3 linked regions of the Oryzias latipes genome follow. The protein of the gene in region 2 interacts with the protein of the main gene of each other region in a pairwise test. Links are inferred from orthologs where the notes say so. Each region holds a gene or a part of one and is shown on either strand. Other genes may lie near its edges.

The links.
Region 1: the proteins of zbtb8a (region 2) and fam161a interact in binary tests that used the Homo sapiens proteins (3 or more experiments, as listed by UniProt). The two-hybrid records come from large-scale screens. The link is inferred for Oryzias latipes from reciprocal best matches to the Homo sapiens genes ZBTB8A and FAM161A.
Region 3: the proteins of zbtb8a (region 2) and telomere zinc finger-associated protein interact in binary tests that used the Homo sapiens proteins (3 or more experiments, as listed by UniProt). The two-hybrid records come from large-scale screens. The link is inferred for Oryzias latipes from reciprocal best matches to the Homo sapiens genes ZBTB8A and ZBTB48.

Annotation. Positions count from the first base shown.
Region 1 is NC_019859.2:4,112,619-4,117,023, forward strand, and holds the start of fam161a (protein FAM161A), read left to right. Parts: upstream 1-1,507; 5' UTR 1,508-1,678; coding exon 1,679-1,834; intron 1,835-2,227; exon of another isoform or gene 2,228-2,570; coding exon 2,571-2,839; intron 2,840-4,405. Other genes in the region: cct4 (T-complex protein 1 subunit delta), read left to right, coding at 91-325, 398-511, 589-603. UniProt on the Homo sapiens protein: Involved in ciliogenesis.
Region 2 is NC_019880.2:16,761,261-16,765,647, reverse strand, and holds the start of zbtb8a (zinc finger and BTB domain-containing protein 8A), read right to left. Parts: upstream 2,808-4,387; 5' UTR 2,675-2,807; coding exon 2,610-2,674; intron 2,595-2,609; exon of another isoform or gene 2,364-2,594; intron 1-2,363. Other genes in the region: gale (UDP-glucose 4-epimerase), read right to left, coding at 3,377-3,441, 4,089-4,203, 4,331-4,387. UniProt on the Homo sapiens protein: May be involved in transcriptional regulation.
Region 3 is NC_019865.2:24,218,407-24,221,749, reverse strand, and holds the end of telomere zinc finger-associated protein, read left to right. Parts: coding exon 1-119; intron 120-206; coding exon 207-295; intron 296-2,291; coding exon 2,292-2,492; 3' UTR 2,493-2,837; downstream 2,838-3,343. UniProt on the Homo sapiens protein: Plays a critical role in transcriptional regulation and chromatin remodeling. Acts as a regulator of telomere length. Directly binds the telomeric double-stranded 5'-TTAGGG-3' repeat.

The sequences.
Region 1 (4,405 bases), on a different chromosome or scaffold from region 2:
GACATGACCTCAGTTATGTTTGCACATATCTATGTATATACTATATGTTTTTGGTCATAAGCGTATGCTGATTGTTCCTCTGTTCTTCAGGGCTCTGATAGCAGGAGGCGGAGCTCCAGAGATTGAGCTGGCCGTGCGTCTGACAGAGTACTCGCGCACTCTGGCTGGGATGGAGGCGTACTGCGTGCGCGCGTATGGTGATGCTCTGGAGGTCATACCCTCCACACTGGCGGAGAACGCGGGCCTGAACCCCATCTCCACGGTGACGGAACTCCGCAACAAACACGCACAGGGAGACAAGATGGCCGGCATCAACGTCCGCAAGGTCGGCGTGCTTTCCTTTTGCTCCGTCTGTGCGCGGTTGACAGCTTGACAGATTTATTTATTTTTTGGACAGGGGGGGATTTCAAACATCTTGGAGGAGCTGGTGGTGCAGCCCGTGCTGGTTTCCATCAGCGCGTTGACTCTGGCCACAGAAACGGTCCGTAGCATCCTCAAGATCGATGACGTGGTAAGACTCAGAACTGGATTCCCTTTTTCATTTTACAGAAGTATGATTGGAAATTAATTTTTGTGTTCTGGTTCCAGGTGAACACTCGATAGGTCTGTCCGGTTTCTGAAGCCCGTTTGTTCTGCGAGGGATCAGAGCATCACGTCGACAGCAGTCTGCTCCGATTTCTGCTGTAGTTATTGCATTGCCTAATTTAATAAAAGGCTGTGGGGTTTTTTTTGTTGACACTGCTGCCTCTTTTTGTCTTTCTTTCTTTGTCTTTGTCTTTATGTTGCACTAAAGTGTAGTACACAGATTTAGAAACATGTTCTGGTCTTCATTTTTTTTAAATTGTATGTCTTGAAAACCGCTAATTTGAAAAAAGTATGTGAAATATTAACGCAGAGTTAACACGTATTTACCAAATAATTTCTGCAGCATGAAAAGATGCATAAAATCTGGTTTCTAGTACTTATCAGACTAATGGTAACATTATAAAACATGACCTAAATGTAAAATGTTGATTTGCTGTTATAAAATAAGGTTTTCTCTTGATTAAAGAGTAATGACAGATCTTTATTTGTCATTGTCACGCATACAATAGAATTTAAAGTGATTCCTGGTCAGTCTAACACTCATACCTTAAAAAAAATTAGACTCCAGGCGCCGGTGCCTCTGACCTCATGCTCATCCAAGACGTGGACGGTGCTGCTTTTCTATAGAATTGGTTAAAAATGTAAAATCTTTAGATAGAATTTTTGTGTGTCTTCAAAAATTGGGTGATGATCATGGCCTGGTTCAAAAAAAAAGTCCTGCTTCTATGCAAAATAAATTCAATGCATAAGTAATTTTATTATTTGAATTAAGATACTTTTTTTTATTTAAGTAGCCGTTTTCATTCAATTAATCAAATAAGAAAAAAATATATACATTTTAATGGTCAGAACCTGTGTTTACTCGATTCATTTTAAGCGTTCAGTTTAAAAATGTACACGTTTCCAACGCTTTTATTTTGTATCAGAGCTTTGTTCTTTGCTTCCGTTTTACGTCACTTCCTTCCTAACGATGCTTCTCCGTTGCTAAGAAGCCAGCCAACCTGACAACGACTGTTCCCTCCGGGGAACGAACTAAGTAACAGAACCTCATCAAGGCGCTTTTTTAAAAAAAAAAAACTGTTTCAACAAAAAGATGGCGAATCCTCACCGGACGAACGTTTTATTAACTTCCTGTCTGAAGGCGCCGGTGGACCCGCACACCAAGGCGCCGCTTGCGTCATACGAGCGCGGGGCAGTCCTAACGCACGCGACTGCAGGCCAGCTGGACAACCGGGACTATGAGAAAGAGGTAAACACATGTTTAAAAATATTTCACAATAAAAGTCACACTTTCAAAATAATAATCTTTCTAAAAATAGTTAAGACAACTCTGTATTTATTGAGATATATAGAAACTTTGTATACACTTTAGATTGGAGGTTGTTATACTATATTTTATTTATTTATTTATTTATTACAATGTGAAGGTGGGTGAAGCTGTTGTTTTCCTGTAGTCTGAGTGCAGCTCCCTCTGACCTGAGACAGGTTATGTCCAGTTAACAGGATGTTGACAGTTTCAGGTCAGCCAGGTGGAAGGGATTTGATCTGTCATTTGTTGTCCCGTCTATTTTTGGATTTCTGTCTTCACTAGATTACCAGAAGTCTTGTTGGGTCGGTAATCTCTTTTATATCCTTTTAACAGCAATGACCTTCTGTGGAAAAAACACCTCGTAGCAAGTTGGTCTAATTTTCAGAAACGCTTCTGACAAACATCCTTTTTAATGGAGGCCGGACACTTTAGGAGGAGTAGATGTCAGCGGAGCTCCTTCATGCTGAGCTCACCTTTGTGTTCCAACCATATGGCTCTGATCATTGTGACTGCAGGATAATGAGCTTAGTCCTGAAGACCTTACTGCCCCTCAACAGGGCAGCAGTGTTCTTTAGGGCATAGAAGTGAAAACAAACTTTTAATAAATTCATGTAGGAAGCCTTCAAATACCTGTTAATTAACATGATGATCCTTGAGTGACCTTTGGGCATTTCAGCTGGAGTTTTGGGACTCGGGCTCGGATTTCTGTGATGAGGACTGTCTGGGGATGGGAGGAGCTCACGTGGGGGGCAGCTTCAGGGCAGCCGTCGACCGCCTGGACCTGAGTGAAATCTTCTTCTCCAATGAGGAATACTACAGCAAGCTGGAGGAGCTGAAGAGGGCCCACGAACGCACCATGGCAGAGCTGGAAAGCATGTACCAGCAGAAGCTGCAGCTCAGGTCCGGTGAAGCTTTTGATATGAAGGCCCTGGATATCGGTCACAGGTCAGTTGGGCCGGATTAAAGGAATTTCTTTGACAGTTTAACACTAATTTTGCAAACCGAGACTATTGTTGTTGTTTTTTTATTTTATATATTAACCATATTTTCACTGAGATTAAGGGACTTTGATTATGAGATATTCATTCCTGCAGAAATAAAATAAAATAATTAGCTCAGCTGCCTACAATTGAACATGTTTTAGGGTTGCTTTTAAGAATAAAAAACAAATTACCTGGAAAGCTTAAAGATTTCCTCTTTAAATTTTTTATTGTTCGCATGTCCATTTCTTTTTTAGATTATACTGTCATGCATGGAAGAAAGCTTCGGCCTATCTTATGCATGTTTTGCAGGATTCAACCATTGACTGTAAATGAGAACTGAACTGAGTGACCCCTCCCTCCTGGCGTCCCAAACAGGCCAAAATCGCATAGACTTCTATAGAGAAATAAACAGAAGTTCTTCAGTCATTCTATTTTTCAGAATAACTATTCTTGCTCTGAAACCTTTTTTTTTAAAGACCCACTTCTATGAAAACTGTGATTTTCATAGAAAATCACAGTTTTGTGGTGTTTTTAACATGTTCTTATGGCATTTTTCTGAAGATGGAGGACAACTTTGAAGAGAATTAAGGTTATAATTGCATTTCTGAGTATTTCTTTATTCAAATTGCTGTGAATCAGGAGCAGATGAGACAAAAAACAGTTTGAAAAAGAGGATATTTGTGATGTAGAAAATACGCTGGGTGGGCCAAAAGCTCCCTGCTCCATTCTGAGCTGGAATCTGGATCTAGACTGTACGGTTGAAGAGCTTCACCATCATCCACAGTAATGTTAGGTTGGGGGTGTAAGGGCCTGAAAGGTAGCGAGAGAGAGTGTAAACAGAGAACTCTCTGCTGTGGGTGACAGACGTCATCTTTAGCTTAACCCCTAACCCAAAACTCAGAGGTGAATTTCTAATGAACTCCTGCCACTCTGCAGAAACTTTTAGCCAAAAAAAAATTATTTTGGCTAAAAACAGCATAATCATAATTGAAAGACCACTGGGAATGCTCTAAAAATCAAAAGATTATCATAATTCTCAATAATCTTAGTTCTTTCATGATATTTTTTCTGTTGTAAAGGTTATTCAAGCTATAAGCTGACCCATCAGATGCCTCAATAAAATTCAGCGGCCAAAGTTTTGTAAACTTGATTGACAGGTGGTAGAAATGTGGACTTCCAACAGTACCGATTGGTGAGAGTTGTCGCCATAGAAATGCAGGGGTCCAATTTGGACATATCACTGCTGACTCCAACACGGTGGTGTCTGTATCGCAAAAAACAGACGACTGAATTGATTACATTTTGTTGGAGCCATAAGTAAACCATTTTCCATGGGTGACGTCACATTCACTCAGTCCAGTTCTCATATACAGTCAATGGTTTTAAGTAATTGGCTTTGGGCGGGGTTTAGTCTGTGCTCGAGGTGGGTCCAAGTCTTACTTGAGCGGGATTCAAACGGTAGTTATTTGGAGAGTCGTCTAAGAGTTCATAATTCTTTTGAGGCAGAAAAAAACCATATTGTCTTCTG
Region 2 (4,387 bases):
CCCGGTGGCAGAGACACTCTGGCGATGCAGCGCTAGACGTTTTTTATGCCTCGACTTTGATGTCCGACCATTCCTTCTTTATTTCGGCCACGGTCCGAGGTTGTGAGGCTACAGCATTTGGCGTCTGCCACCGTTTGCCACTCAAGTGCCTTTTTGGCATTAGTAATGCCCACACTGTGCCCTCCAAACAACATTTCCTCCTCTTTTCCACTTCACCAACGATAACTTCTACTTCACATTGAGTGAAGTTACGTTTTTTTTCATTTCCTCTCTGTGTTTGCCATGATTTCGCAATCCATGAATATTCATTTGTGGGCGTTTCGCGGACTATTTATGGGCAACTATGGGCGTGTCATGAAGCCGCAAAAGCTGCGCTGCATTTAGAATTGATTGTGATTTATTAAGGGAAAGATGCGTAGGATGTGCGTGCGCACGGTTTTATAAATCTGAATATTTCTGTGCGTACGCACGTCCTATGTTTCATCTGTACGCCACTTCTGACGCAAATCCTACGCAAAGTTTTATAAATGAGGCCCCAGGTTATGTTATGAGCATGAGTTGCCATGGCAACTTGACATACCCTGAAACATACCTCCATTTCTGGAACAGATTATCAACTTCCTTAGCCTCAAACTTACCGTGGGAGCTAGCATAACCTGCTTTCTGGAATACCCCCCAGGACTGCATATTCAGACTACGCCATGTTTGCAAATATATCATTTGTGGCCACAAATTAGTATTTTGTACACACAAATAAGCCTTTTGTGGTCACAAATTAGCATTTTGTGGATACAAATTAGTAATTTATGAGCATTTTGTAGTCACAACTTAGTATTTTAAAAGGCACGGGGGAAATGTACAGAGCTCTAAATGAAACAAAATTTTTACTCATTTAAAAAATTGTAACCATGAATTAGTATTTTGTGTAGACAAATGACCATTTTATTATTTTTTTACATTTTAGTACAAACAAATGAGTATTTCAGTATCTTCAAGTTCCAATACTAACTTGTGCCCAAAAAATACAAATTCATTGCCTCAAAATTCTAACTTGTGCGCACAAAATGCTAATTTGTGGGCCAAAAAAAATGCTACTTTGTGTGTAGAAAATACTAATTTATGGCCAAAAATTAATATTAGCAAATAAAATAGTATTTTAGCATCTTCAAGTTACATTACTAATTTGTGGCCACAAAATACAAATATTTGGCCACAAAATGCTAATTTCCCCCTTAAAACTCTTATTTGTCCCCATGAAATACTATTCTGTAGCCACTAAATGCTAATTTGTGCAAAAAAAAACTAAAAATACATGTGAGGGAACCATTTATTTATTTTTGTAATGTCATTTCCAAGGCTCCGTTATTTCGTGGCCACAAATGAATATTTAACTATAATTTTGTAGGAAAAACTAGTGGCCAAAAATTAGTGTGCACAAATTTGTGTACACTAATTGGCATAATGTGTGCACAAATGTGTATTTATTGCACAGAAATTTGTATTTTAAAGCCATATTTTGTTAGCATTTTGTGCACACATGTATTTTTCCCACAGAATGTTGTTTTTGTAGGCCACAAATTAGTAGAAGGAACTGATCCTCAAATTTGTGCACAAAATATAAATTTGCGGGTTCAGGGCTCCATAGAAATGTCAGTAATTAAGTAGCTATTAAAAAACAAGCATAAGATGTCCTAAAGTTCTACTCTGGCAGCATCTTTGTGCAGTGGATCATGTTGAAGGAAGACCGGCCCACCGTTCTGCGCTCTGATTGGCTGGGTGATCCATCAATCAGGAAATGCTTTATAATGGATTACACCCGACTCTATCAGGAAGGGCGGGTAACAAACCCTTTATTTAACCCTGTTGGTTAAATGAATGATGAATCAAATATACTGTACAGTTATAAATAAAGATTTCTGCAGCTAATAGAAGCCATTAAAAAAAACAACGAAAGGCATACTAATAATTTGCCTAAAGCTCATATTTGAAAGACAGACTACTTTATAAAAACCCAGCAAGTCATTTTTCCTGTCTGGACTGACTTGATGGATTTAAATGCGTCCTTCATTATCGCGATACGCCTCGAAAAGCTCCGCAGCGCCCGATAACCCTCGGCGAAACACCCGCCTGAAACACTCCGGTACTTCAAATCACACTCAGAACCGAGTCTCGTGTGTTAATCGAGCAATTTCCCCTTCGTTCGGCCGCGCGCGACCTCCAAACGGACACGAGAACGCTGCAGTCCTACGAGAGGAAAGCGGGTAGCGGCGATCCGGAGCAGCCCCGTCTGTCCTGGAGCGACGCCCACTTCAGGCTCCAGCCAGCACACAATGGAAAAAAAAGAAAAAAGAAAAGACACCGACCTCCTCCAGCGGCGAAGCACGCCGCGAGCTCAGATAAACATGTCCACACCACGAATCAGTTTGATGAAACAAACGCCCGTTTCCATCCGCGAGAGGCGCCCCCACTCCTCTCCGGAGGTCCGGAGCACAGCGAGCAGCTTTCGCCTGCTGCCCGGAGCGAGCGACGCCTTCGCAGGCGCGAGGTGTCGGCAAGGACCCGCTGACGCCCTGATATATATACCCCGTCAGAAAAGCATCGATACTCACTGGTGACTGGATTCACCCGCCGCCCGGCACACTCTACTTGCCCCTGCATCTACCTCTATATCCATTTTTTTTATTTAAATGATTATTTGTGCCTTTTCTGACCCTCCCCCTCCGCTTTTTATTTCTCCCCGTCCAGGGTCCACAGCCAGGCACTTCCTGCTCAGCCCTAAAGACCGAAACCCGGTCAGAGAGACTGGAGCTCCGTGCTGACGTGGGTGTTTATTAACAGGGTGCCCGAGGGTTCAGGGAGCCATTTAAAGCCCCAGTGCCTTTTTACAGGAACAGCACGTACCTCAGCCTAAAAACGACCATACCCACTCGAGATCACGCAGGAATTCATGCTCACCTTACCATGATTTCCTCCAGTATCCTCTTATTACAACATATTTCTTTCTCCATCCGTATGAAAAAAAAAAAACCCCACAAAAAATAAAAAAATACAGCACCAATAATCTTAAAGAATATGTCCTTAGGGGTTTTTCCAATTAATACATTTCAAAAGAAAGCACAATTTTACTGTTAGAAAATTATTTTATTCATCATTTTTATGGCTTCCATAATTATAAAGTTAAGAAAAGAATCCCTGCTGTTCAGAAACAACCAAATAAAGACAAAAAATCTGTTGAATAGATTTTAGTTACAAATTCCAAAAATAATAGAAAGAAATTCAAATTTGAGGCCTTATGTTGCATTTATGACATGACAAAAAAATAGTATCTGCTTTGGTGGATTAACACAAAATAATCAATAACACCCCCCAGCATTCATCAAGAGCTGGTGCTCTTGGAAAATCCAGTGGGGTTCATGGACTGCCAGCGCCACAGATCTGCACCTGAATGCAAATGAGGAAGAAAAAATAAAGATGGCACAGATTATTGAAAAATGATCGCAGCTAATTGAATGTATTTTCTGCAGATTATCAGACTGCACGGTGTGATGGAGCCATTGACTGTATATGAGAACTGGACTGAGGTACCCATCCCTGCTTGGGTTCTAAACAGGAAGTACCTGCTGACTCCAAGAAGCCATAGACTTCTATAGTAAAATAAAGTAGCTATTACTCAGTCATTATATCTGGCAGAATAACCATTTTTGCCCTAAAACCTTTTTTTAACATGTTCTTGCTAATCCTATTTTTTCTGTAGTTATTTAAGTTTTAAACTGGGCAATCAGATGACTCAGAGGTCTCAGATTGAACGTTTGATTGACAGATTCTCCCGAGCCCACTTTCAAGTGGTAGGGGTGTGGCCTCTCAACAAGCTTTCTCCTGATTGGCCAGAATGGTTTGCCATAGAAATGATCACTCAGATCGACTCGGACCATCACTGCTTACTGATGTTATCTGGCTCCAACGTGCCAGTGTCCGTGTCACGAAAAATTGAATCAACCTTTTTTCACTGGAGCCAGAAGTAAGTCACTTTCTATGAGTGACGTCACACTCCGTCCAGTTTTAATTTAGAGTCAATAAGTGGAGCTTACACATCCTCTCCATGTCAAATTCAGCCTTCCATCCCAGCTCCTCCTCAGCTAGCTTAGGGTCAGCATAGCAGGATGCTACGTCTCCTCCTCTACGGGGGGCGATCTTGTATGGGATCTTTACAGAAGAAACAGTGTTTGCAACATGACTCAGCCATAGAAATCTTTAAAGCCCATAAAATTATTTTACAAAGTAGATTTAATACGGTGAAGTATTGAAGCAAAACAACTTTTGTGTAACTCACCTCTTTGCCAGATGCCTTCTCCATCCCTTTAACTACCTGAAGAACAGAGTAGCCTTT
Region 3 (3,343 bases), on a different chromosome or scaffold from region 2:
CACCTGCGACGTGTGCGAGAAGCGCTTCACTGAGAAAGGCGCCCTCCTTCGCCACAAGGCCAGCAAGCACGAGGAGGGCCGTCCCCACTGCTGCCACATCTGTGGGAAAACTTTCAAAGGTGAGGCATGCTGACCTGGTCACAAACACAGATCTCTGTTGGCGCAAAAGAAACTGCAAGCTGTTTTTTTTTCTTTCCTTTTTCCAGCAAAGGAGCAGATGCGTGTCCATCTGCGACGTCACAAAGGGGTGAGGAACTTTGAGTGCAGCGATTGTGGCTACAAGTTCACTCGGCAGGTTAGTGCAAACGCAACACTTCAGAAAAATTAGATACAAAACACCAAATAGATTTTGTTGTTTTAACATGTTTTCTTAAAATTGAAAAATACTGTATAATCAGAGAAAATATGGAGAAACAGGCAAAATGTACGTTTTTAGAATTTAGTAAATCTCTGGTTTTAGTCGATAGAAATTTTTTTTCTCATACTGTCAGAAATCGGAAAATGATTGATGGGAGAAGAAAAAGTTTTGACGTACTGACATATGTCACACCCCATGTGGGATTTAAACTTTGTTGGCCACGAAGGCTACAAGGCTTTATGAAGTTTTGCAAAGGTTGAAATTAGTGCAATCGGAGGGGGGGGGGGGGGGTATTTTTACTGCACCAGAATTACTTTACTCTGGGGTCGGGTTCATTTAGGAGGTTTAAAAACGTATCTGAACCCTGGTGCTTACCAAAGGTTATGTGAACTCTGGACCACATCAAAAGTGAACCCCGACCTTGCAAGTGAATCCTGGTGCAGATAACTACAGTGTGAATGCAAATATACTGTTGAGTGGACCAAAAAGTCAAAAAAGCGAACCAAAGCGAGTGGTAGGTGTAAGAGCCATGTCATTCGGATAATCTGTTAATAAAAATGTTTAAATTTCTTATTGGTTTAGTTTTTGTTAGTCCTTGTTCCATTTGAGTTCAGCCTCAATCGGTGTAAATGCAATCAGTTCAGAGACTTAAGAGGGAGCCAATTTCTAGAACAATAACTGTTTGAGAGGACAAAACATTCTCCTTCCTTCTTAAGGTATGTGAAAGAGTGTAACCATGAGGTGCTTGATCTGTCCGTGTTCATCCTGATATAAAAACAGGCAAACTTCAGAACAGATGGAAACACACATGCAGTGCAGCTGAAACACGTTCATATCCCAGATCATTTCATGAGGGAAGAAGTTTTGGGAATATAAAAATGTTTTAGTTTTATAGTTAAGATCAAAATCCGACTGGTTGGGGCCTAGACAATGGATTTAGTTTTGACCATTACATTGTTGGTTCCACCACTGCCACAGTGTTTGTGCTTCAGCAACTGATCAACCAACTGTTTGTCAGCAAATTTGTCATTTTTCAGACATGGAAGGAAAAACCCAACACAAATGGATGTGACACGTGTCCATCTTTCTGAGCTGTCGCCAGCGCCTTTCAAGATTTAGATTCTGCATCACAGAAAATTTAAGAAACGCAGGAAAAAAACTAAATTGTGACTGATTTTAAACAAGAATAAAGCATAAAGAGTAAATAACTAGGAATCATTTTTCTTTGTAACTTAATAAACAAAAATAATAATTTGTTCTGCACTGCTTTTCTGATATCTTTTTCCCTGTGGAAGCAATTTAGTTACTTAATTAAATAAAATTAAGTTTTTATGTTTAAAGACGCGTGTTGCAACCATTGAGTGTATAAGAACTGGACTGAGTGACTCCTCCCCCCTGGTATTCCAAACAGGAAGTACCCTCTGGCTTCAAGAAGCTAAACTCCCAGACTTCTGTAGAGAAATAAACAGCTGTTACTCAGTCAATCTATTTCTCAGAATCACCATTTCTTGCTCTGTTTTCTTTTTATAACCTGCTATATATGAAGTCAGAAGCCTCAATAAAAGCATGTGGTCTCACGTTGTACATTCAAAACGTTAAATGCCAGATTATATCAATTCCACTTTAAGTAGGGGTGTGGACTTCCAACAAGCTCACTCGATTGGCGAGAATGGTTGCTATAGAAAGAATGACTCAGACCAACCAATCACTGCCTACTGACGTCGTCTGGCTATAACACGGTGACATCTGTATAGTCAAAAAATTGCACTTTCTGTGACGTCACACTCAGTCCAGTTCTCGTATACAGTCAACGAGGAAAACTTATTTTCTTTAATTCCAAACTGTTTGTTTTCAACTATGAGGGATTTGTGAAGATGCTGTAAAAGCAGCTTGTCTTTCAGGAATCACCCCTGTCTTCCGTCTTCTACTCCAGGCTCACCTGAGACGCCACAGCCAAATTCACAAACGCACGGAGAACTACAACCCACGGCAGAGGAAGCTGAGGAACGTCATCATCCAGGATGAAGGGGAAGCCGCAAATCCTGGTGAAGCCCCGAATGTCATTGATGCCTCCTCAGACTCCACAGACCTACTGTCCGACCTGGGCTCCATTCGTATCGTGACAGTGGAATAGTGGAAGTAGTCGGTAACCAGAAAACCGGACAAGCTGAGGATGCAGGAAGCCTGTCTGTAGTTAAGTCTGCTGGACCACCAGGCTTTGGGAGGACACGGTTATAAAGAAGACTCTTCTAAACACCTGACATTTCCATCTTTTTCTCAGTAGGATTTGTGCTTGATATTAGAGATATTGATCCCTAACACAATGTTATCCAACTGACCTGAAATCTGAAAAAAAGAGAGTCTGCTAATGTTTAGACAAAGAATTCTAAACAGAAGAAATGCACGCTGAAGTAGGATCCTGCATGAAATGTAATTAATGTAACTACAGCAGATAATTAAAGTTCACCACTCTTCATCATCTTGGACTTTTTTTTGAATAAGAACTGACAATATTTGAGGTTGAAAACTACATAAGCCTACGCTGTAAAATGCATAGAAGTCTCACTCCGATCATCTTTTGATCTGTTGTCAAATCGTTCCCAGTAGTCTTTACTTAGGATCATGCAGATTTTAGGCCAAATCAATAAACCTGTATCGTTGTGTAGGACGTAGTTTGTGCAGAATGGCAGGAGTTCAATAGAAATTCATGACTAGTCAACTGCCTCGGTTCCATCTGCACCTGACTTGAGCTCTTGCTGGGGCAGTGCTTAGGGGCGGGGACCTGGGCTTGGCCGTGGGACCGGCTCTCTCTTGGGTCCTCTTTCTTTGACTGACCCCCGATCATCTGGAAGCTGTCCCCGAGCTGCCGTCCTTCCTCATTCGACAAGTTATTCGGGTGATTACAGTTTTGAGGAGGTGTGGCGGCGTCCTGTGTTATGGATAGTGGCCTTTGTTGCTTTGCTGCTAACTCTCTGGAGGTCATTG